2 linked regions of the Oryctolagus cuniculus genome follow. The protein of the gene in region 2 interacts with the protein of the main gene of each other region in a biochemical or structural test. Links are inferred from orthologs where the notes say so. Each region holds a gene or a part of one and is shown on either strand. Other genes may lie near its edges.

Region 1 (4,355 bases), on a different chromosome or scaffold from region 2:
TTACAGCAACAAAGGCCACTGGCGGGGCAGGTGTTTGGCACTGTGCTAAGGATACCACTTGGGAAGTCACCCCCACATCAGGCTGCCTGGGTTCAAGTCCTGGCTCCACTTCTAATCCAGCTTCCTGATAATGCACACCTGGTGGCAGCAGGCGCTGGCTCAAGTACCTGGATCCCTGCCTCCCATGCAGGAGACATGGACTGAGTTCCTGCCTCCTGACTCTAGCCTGGCCCAGCCCTGGCTGTTGCAGGCATCTGGGGCGTGAACCAGTGAACGGAAGTGCTTTCTTGACTTATCTATGTGTCTCTGCCTTTGAAATAAACAAACATATAAAGTTTTGTTTTTTTTCTTTTAAAGCCACCAGGGCTTTAGACCTTGTGGATTAACACCCACTTTTTCTGGTAAACTCAATGCCAGGTTAGGAGGTTAACTACATCTGTCTACCCTTCTAATTTGCTTCCAAAATGAAAACAAGGTAGGTACTGGTACCGTGGCACAGAAGGTTAGGCCGTGGCTTGCAGCGCCAGCATACCAATTCCCAGCTGCTCCACTTCTGAGCCAGCTCCCTGCTAGCACAGCTGGGAAAGCAGCAAAGGAATGGCCCGAGTGCTTGGGCCCCTGCACCCACGTGGGAGACCTGGAAGAAGCTCCTGACTTTGGTCTGGCCCAGCCCTGGCTGTTGCAGCCATTTGGGGAGTGAACCAGCAGATGGAAGTAACTCTCTCTCTCTCTCTCTCACTGTAGCTCTGCCTTTCAAATAAAATAAAGAAATCGTTAAAAAATTCATTAAAAAACCTAAAAACAAGGTGAGTACAACAGCCACAGTGATGAACAGAGGGCAAAGTAGAAAAGCAAATGAGCCCAGGAATCCCTTTGCTCACGGAGCGCCTCAACCTGGGGCTTCTGAAGCTTTTGTAGTCTCACGGCAAATACAGTCATTTTCTTTTTCTTTTTTAAGGTTTATTTATCTATTTAAAAGGCAAAGTTACAGAGAGTAAGGGAGAGATAGAAAGAGTGAGGGCTGGCCAGCGCCGCGGCTCACTAGGCTAATCCTCCACCTAGCAGCGCTGGCACACCGGGTTCTAGTCCCGGTCGGGGCGCCGGATTCTGTCCCGGTTGCCCCTCTTCCAGGCCAGCTCTCTGCTGTGGCCAGGGAGTGCAGTGGAGGATGGCCCAAGTGCTTGGGCCCTGCACCCCATGGGAGACCAGGAGAAGCACCTGGCTCCTGGCTTTGGATCAGCGCAGCGCGCCGGTGTAGCAGCCATTTGCGGGGTGAACCAACGGAAGGAAGACCTTTCTCTCTGTCTCTCTCTCTCTGTCTAACTCTGCTTGTAAGAAAGAGAAAAGGAAAAGGAAAGAAAGAGTGAGGGCTTCCATTCACTGTTCACTCCTCAAATGGCCGCAACAGCCAGCACTGGGCCAGGCCATCAGTAGGGAGACGGATCAGAAGTGGAGCAGCCAGGACACAAACCGGTTAGGGTTAGGGGTTAGGGGCTAGGGTTAGGGATTCCAGCGTCACAGGAGGTGGCATTACTCACCAGGCCACAACACCAGGCCCTGTGGTCATTTTCTAAAGGGCACTGCTGTACATTTAAGGACAAAGTCTCCAATGCTATTTTGCTGATTTAAAAATTACTGTCAAATACAAATACATATAATCTGCAGAAATACGTTAACAATCACTGAAACTGAGAGTCTAATTCATAACTGAGTCTCCCCAAACCTGCTCTCACCACTGAGGACATTTCTTTCTTTGCAATTATAATTAATCCTATGCTTTTCTTCCAACAGTCAAGTTCCGGTGAGATAAAAACAAAAACAAAAACAAGCATGTGCCAAGACCAAGGTGGTCTATATCACTAAATAAATTCAATGTCGTGAGAGTTAATCCAGCTTAGGCCTTATATATATTTTCATGAGATTTCAAAGTCAATCTTTTACCTGCATTGAATGAATCATTTCTTTGGTGAAACGATACGGATACAAAATGTTGTGAATTTTAACCGCTAAGCTCTCAGCCTGGCCACTGCTTACATCAACAGCAACCTAGAAAGACCCAGCACAAATGTCATTTAAATGTTAATTGTTGTGTCTGCAGAAATGTTTTACCAAAGATTTCAAAGTGCTTTAAAAATATTCACTCTCATATAATCTATTAAAGATGGCTTGAATTCAGGGAACTTACAGAAATTCAAAAAGCTCTATGAATAATCATCTTAAGTAAGTTTGTTTAAACAAAATGACAAAAACCAATACTGCTTCAGATCAACAATCTGTCTACGCTCCAAAGACCTTAAAGATCCTGACTAAACAAATCAGTGATGGAGAGCTCACTTGTTATGCACACCCTGCAGTGTAGGAGGTACGTTCTGTGCATTCACACTGCGGACAGACGCCCACGTTCTGTGCATTCACACTGCGGACAGACGCCCACGTCTACGGACAAGCCGGTCCTCCAGAAGAGGCTTCACCGCTTTATCTAATGATGGCAGTTTTCTCATCACCAGCCTGAACACTGCACCACCGCTATGTCAGGGTTTCCAACAGCGATAAACACATTCACTATTCACACTCTGAGTATACAGGTTTAATCCTTCCAAAATGCTATGAATTCTCATTTTTCCTCTCCACATTAAGCATTAATTTCCAAATAAATTACCTGGAAACATACTCAGTTTCTATTCACAATTATACATTTGTGTCCGTACTCAGCTTAAATGAAGTTCAAATTTTAACATAACAGGCAAATAAAAACTGCTGCACGCCCACCTCTGGGTAGCGGGTAAATACTGGGTTGTCCCATTCTGAGAGCAAAGACTTCAGGGATTCACTGCCAACAGCATCCTCCACAGTATCTAGGGCAAATGGGAAAGATTCAGCTGGCACCCAGAGCCCAGGAAAAAGGGTGAACCCCACTTCCCTTGGCTGTAGCCTCAAGACCCAAGATCAGATACACTGCCCCACATTCTACAGATGTTCAGTGTTTGCTTTAACTCCAAGCTGTTCTGCTCTGCTACTTTTTAAACTAGAGTTGATGGCTGTATCTTCTATTATAGCTTTTCTCCCAACTGTTTACAAAAGGTACTTCAAAATACAAGTCCCGAAAAAGCAATGGCTCAAATTAAATTTGTTGCCTCACTGCCTATAGGTTAAAAAAAAAACACAAAAACATGTATTTTTAGTAAAAATTTAAAAAATAGATGTCTAGGTCAGCGCCGCGGTTCAACAGGCTAATCCTCCACCTTGTAGCGCTGGCACACCGGGTTCTAGTCCCGGTCGGGGCGCCAGATTCTGTCCCGGTTGCCCCTCTTCGAGGCCAGCTCTCTGCTGTGGCCAGGGAGTGCAGTGGAGGATGGCCCAAGTACTTGGGCCCTGCACCCCATGGGAGACCAGGAGAAGCACCTGGCTCCTGCCATCGGATCAGCGCGGTGCGCCAGCCGCAGCGCGCTAGCAGCGGCGGCCATTGGAGGGTGAACCAACAGCAAAGGAAGACCTTTCTCTCTGTCTCTCTCTCTCACTGTCCACTCTGCCTGTCAAAAAAAAAAAAAAAAAAAAAAAAAGATGTCTGTCGCTTTTTTCAGTTTTACTTAGATAAAGCTCTTGCAGCATGCAATGTGACCCCCATCGTTAAAAATCAGAAACATCTCCCTGATCACAAAGCACCACAGACTGCATAATCACCCAGTATTAACCTCAAGTCTGGAAAAGTAATTTCTGATCTAAATGCATACACTGAGTTACTTAGTTCTGCTGTGAAATAGGGCCATGGGGAATTCCTGGTTCCAATAAGGCACAGCTGGCACTGATCAAGCTTACTAATGCAGCCCTGTTTTGTTCTGTGCGTGAGGTGGCACGGCGTGTACAAGGTGTCCAGGCAATGTTATTGCCCCTACCTCTGTCACTCTGTCTCGCCACAGTCCTCTCCTGAACTCTTGGAAGGAAAGGAAGAACAAGGTCACTTCTAAAAGGATGACATCTGTACTGAGACCCTAAACATAAAAAGGAAAAACCTAGAAACTTAAGCTCAAAATATAAAGTAGTAAAAAGTTAAATTACATAAAATCTCTTTCTGCACCAAATGAATTAAGACACAAGGCAATCTGCCAAACACTGGACTGAGAATCCTAAATTCTTTAATGAAATTATTCTAATTTAGAAATTTACATTTTTAAAAGAGATTTATTTATTTGAAAGGCCAGTTGACAAGGAGGGAGAAAGACAGATATGGATGAGAGAGAGGGAGAGAGAACAGAATATCAATCTTCCATCCAAAATAAGTCCCACAGTTGGGGCTGGATCAGGCCATAGTCAGAGCCACGAACTCAATTCCAGTCTCCCACATGGATGGCAGGGGC
Region 2 (4,355 bases):
GGAGTGCAGTGGAGGATGGCCCAGGTGCTTGGGCCCTGCACCCCATGGGAGACCAGGAAAAGCACCTGGCTCCTGGCTCCTGCCAGGATCAGCGCGGTGCGCCGGCTGCAGCGGCGGCCATTGGAGGGTGAACCAACGGCAAAAGGAAGACCTTTCTCTCTCTGTCTCTCTCTCACTGTCCACTCTGCCTGTCAAAAAAAAAAAAAAAAAAAAAAAAAAAAAAAAACAATCTTGGTACCTGACAAATTCGCTGCTTTCCCATGAGTGTCTTTTTTTCTTCAGTCTTGATAGCTCTTTGACAGATTTTTTTTTTTTTACCCATTACATCAATCGAAGTAGGTAAAGGTTTTACTTTAGAACTTCATGATTCTTTTTTTTTCCTTTCTAAAAAGGTCCATTGCCTCTGACTTTATTCTCAATGAATTTGCATAATATAAATAATATTTCATGGATTTGATAGGCGCAGTTATTGTTTTCATAGTTTCAACTGGCACATTCTAAGATTCTAGCCTTTCTCAATTGTGACAGAGTTTGGAAGGCTTAGTATAAAATCTATGTGATGTTGTTACTATGAATAAACTACTAGAAGGCAGATTCTCATGGTTACTTTTTGACTATTGTACCTGTTATATTCAGTTAAATTTCCTGAGAGTAAATCTTAATAAGGGCTACAGATTGTACTACATGACACTTAGAAAGATGGGTAACCATTTTGTTTTTAATGTTTCTATTTAAATATTGAAAAAAATGTATACATATTTTTACCACCTGTCTATGTGTTTATAATAGCACTTTTGAGCAACATATGGCACTTAAAAATTTATTTTGCAATTAAAACTTTTTTTCAGAACGTTAATTTTACTACTGTCCAAAGGAAATACTTCAATGAAACAAAAGGATTAGAGTATATTGAACAGTTTTGCACAGCAGAATTCAGCACTGTCCTAATGGAGGTTCAGTCCAAGTAAGTTACAACTTAAAAAGAAAGTAAGAAAGCTCCAGTGTGAGTTCCATGAGGGCAGAGTTTTCTTTGATCCCTTCTGTATCCCTACTAACTACCTAGAAAAGTTCCAGACTCATAATACACAATATTATTGAAATAATAAAACAGTTAATTAAAGTTTCTATGCAGTGTCCCCAAATTAGTTATAATCTATTGCTCTGATGATTGCTGCCAGCTTTATTTTGGATTAAAAATCTCAAGCATCACAGTAAACTAGAAAAGTTGTGGCATGGAAATGAAGTACAGTTGAAGTGGTGTTCTTATTACATCATACTTTTAATCCTAGAAATATGAGATAGGAAATTATATTTTTAGGATAAATATTTCTCAGAACGTGCAAAATCAATATGTTCTCTGAGCCAGATTGGACACTGTTTACTCAGTTAGTGACCATGTTTATTCTCACTGAATTTGTAATATATTTTCCTATTGATTGGGACATCCTGACCCCACCTTTAAGGTCTTCATACTCTTTCAGCATTATTTGAGTACTTAGAGTTGTAAATCCAAAATAGACACAAATTACCATTGAATGTTGTCTCTGACACATGGTTTATTGGTGACCCTTAAGTATTCTTAAGTTCCCTTAAGTATTGTATTTTAAAATAAGGAACATTTGTTATAACTTACTTGTAATTTTACTGAAAATAAGTTGAAATGAGTGTTTCTTCTTATAGCAGTAATTTTTTAAATTAAGGACTTACAGTGATATATCATTGATTACCTTACAGATATTACTGTCTTGCAGCTGTTGCAGCTTTGTTAAAATATGTTGAATTTATTCAAAATTCAGTTTATGCACCCAAATCGCTGAAGATTTGTTTCCAAGGTAGTGAACAAACAGCAATGATAGATTCATCATCAGCCCAAAACCTTGAATTGCTAGTTAATAACCAAGACTATAGGTAAGATCTTCTAACTTTTTTAAAAAATGTATTTTTAGGGCCGGTGCTGTGGCTTACTTGGTTAATCCTCCGCCTGTGGTGCCGGCATCCCATGTAGGCACCGGGTTCTGGTCCCAGTTGCTCCTCTTCCAGTCCAGCTCTCTGCTGTGGCCTGGGAGGGCAGTGGAGGATAGCCCAAGTGTTTGGGCCCTGCACCCGCATGGGAGACCAGGAAGAAGCACCTGGCTCCTGGCTTCGGATCGGCCCAGTGTCGGCTGTGGTGGCCATTTGGGGAGTGAACCAACGGAAGGAAGACCTTTGTCTCTGTCTCTCTCTCTCACTGTCTATAACTCTACCTGTCAAATAAATTTTAAAAAATGTATTTTTAAGGGCCGGTGTTAGAGTGTAGTAGTTTAAGCTGTTGCCTATGACACTGGCATCCATATGGATGCCAGTTCGTGTCCCAGCTGCTCTACTTCCAATCCAGCTCTTCACTAATGTGCCTGAGAAATCAGCAGAAGATGGCTCAAGTGCTTGGGATCCTGCAACCCATGTGGGAGACCTGGAAGAGCTACTAGCTCTGGCTTCAGTCTGGCCCAGTCCTCGCCATTATGGCCATCTGGGGAGTGAACCTACAGATATTTCTCACTCTGTTTCGCCCTCTCTCTCTGTAACTCTGCCTTTCAAACAAATAAATAAATCCTTTTTAAAAGTATCATTTTATGTCCTTTTTTTTAAGATTAATTAATTTAAATTTTTTTCAGTTGTTTCATGAAGAAATAGTGAATAAATATATTTGTTTTATTAAAAGATTTCTTTTAAAATTTATTTGGAGAACCAGAAAGGGAGAGAAGGGGAAATGAAAGGGAAAAGGTAAAAGAGAGAGAGCGGGAAAGAGAAAGCTCTGAAGTTCATTCTTGAAATGCCTGCAACAAACTGGGGGTGGCTTATGCTGAAGCCAGGAGCCAGGAACACAATTCGTTTCCAACATGGGTGGCCGGAACCCAGCTACTTGAGCTGCCTTTTAGAATCTGCACTGACAGGAAGCTGAAATCAGAAGTGGAGGTTAGGTCCAGCATTGTGGTGTGGCAGGTAAAGCCACCACTTGCAATGCCAGCATCCCAAATGGGTGCTGGGTTCTGACCCAGCTGCTCCACTTTCCATCCAGCTTCCTGCTAATGGTCTGGGAAAAAAGAAGAAGATGGCCCAAGTACTTGGGCCCCTTTACCCATGGGGGAGACCCAGAAGAAGCTCTGGGTTCCTGACTTCAGCCTGGCACAGTCACAGCTGTTGTGGCCATTTGGAGAGTGAACCAGCAGAGGGAAGATCTCAGTCCAATTCCAAATACTTTTTAATTAGTGTAATTCCTTCAATATCCTGGTATTTTTTAGGCTGTGTTTCTGTATTTTGAATGTTCTTGAGTATATTTGTTAAAAAAATTACATACACACACACACACATTGTGTGTATTATGTGTTTAGTGAATATTGGGAAAGGTAGAGAGGCCATTTTTCATTGGACTTTTCTTTCTTTCTTTTTCTTTTTCTTTTTTTCTTTTATTCCTCTCCCCTCCCTTCCCCTCCTCTCCTCTCTGATTTGTTTATTTGAAAGGCAGAGTTTCAGAGGGAGAGGGTGGGGGAGAAATCTTCCATCTGCTAGTTCATTCCTGAAATGGCCACAATGGTCAGGGCTGGGCCAGGCTGAAGCCAGGAGCTTCTTCCAGGTATCCCATGTGGGTGCAGGGGGCCAACCACTTGGGTCACCCTGTGCTGCTTTCCCAGCACATTAGTAGGGTGCTGGATGCTGGATCAGAAGTGGAGCAGCTGGGACTTGAACCAGCACCCATGTTGGATGCTGCAGGTGGTAGCTTAACCTGCTGTGCCACAGGACTGACCCCTGAATAAATGTTTTTAATCATTGTACCATTGTTGCTAAACTGCTCAGAAGTTTCACCAAAATCAGGTTGTAAAAAGATATTTGGGGGCATTTAGGCTCATAATTAAGATGCCAGCTGAGATGCCCATGTCCTACTTCAGAAAATGTGGGTTTGATTCCTGACTCTGGTTCCTGCCTTTAGCTTCTCACTCCAGCTGCTGCTAATGTAGACCCTAGGAGCCAACAATGATGGTTCAAGTGATTGGTTCCTGGCACTACATTTGTGTGGATTGCAATCTCAGCTCCCAGCTTTGGCCCTAGCCCAACCCCAGCTGTTTTGTGCATTTGGAGAGTGAATAAGTGGATGGGAGCACACTCTGTCTCTCTGTCTCTCAAATAAGTAAAAACTATAAAATAAAAGATATTTGTACTAAACAGCAAAAAACAAACAAAACCCACCTCACTTTAAAACTGGACAAGGGGCGCCGGATTCTGTCCCGGTTACCCCTCTTCCAGGCCAGCTCTCTGCTGTGGCCAGGGAGTGCAGTGGAGGATGGCCCAAGTCCTTGGGCCCTGCACCCGCATGGGAGACC

Evidence for each region.
Region 1: the proteins of MSH4 (region 2) and MLH3 form a complex in vitro, tested with the Homo sapiens proteins (2 studies listed by BioGRID). The link is inferred for Oryctolagus cuniculus from reciprocal best matches to the Homo sapiens genes MSH4 and MLH3.

Annotation. Positions count from the first base shown.
Region 1 is NC_091451.1:21,094,232-21,098,586, forward strand, and holds part of MLH3 (DNA mismatch repair protein Mlh3), read right to left. Parts: intron 3,990-4,355; coding exon 3,894-3,989; intron 2,856-3,893; coding exon 2,770-2,855; intron 2,047-2,769; coding exon 1,942-2,046; intron 1-1,941. UniProt on the Homo sapiens protein: Probably involved in the repair of mismatches in DNA.
Region 2 is NC_091438.1:96,175,390-96,179,744, reverse strand, and holds part of MSH4 (mutS protein homolog 4), read left to right. Parts: intron 1-848; coding exon 849-964; intron 965-1,734; coding exon 1,735-1,908; intron 1,909-4,355. UniProt on the Homo sapiens protein: Involved in meiotic recombination. Required for reciprocal recombination and proper segregation of homologous chromosomes at meiosis.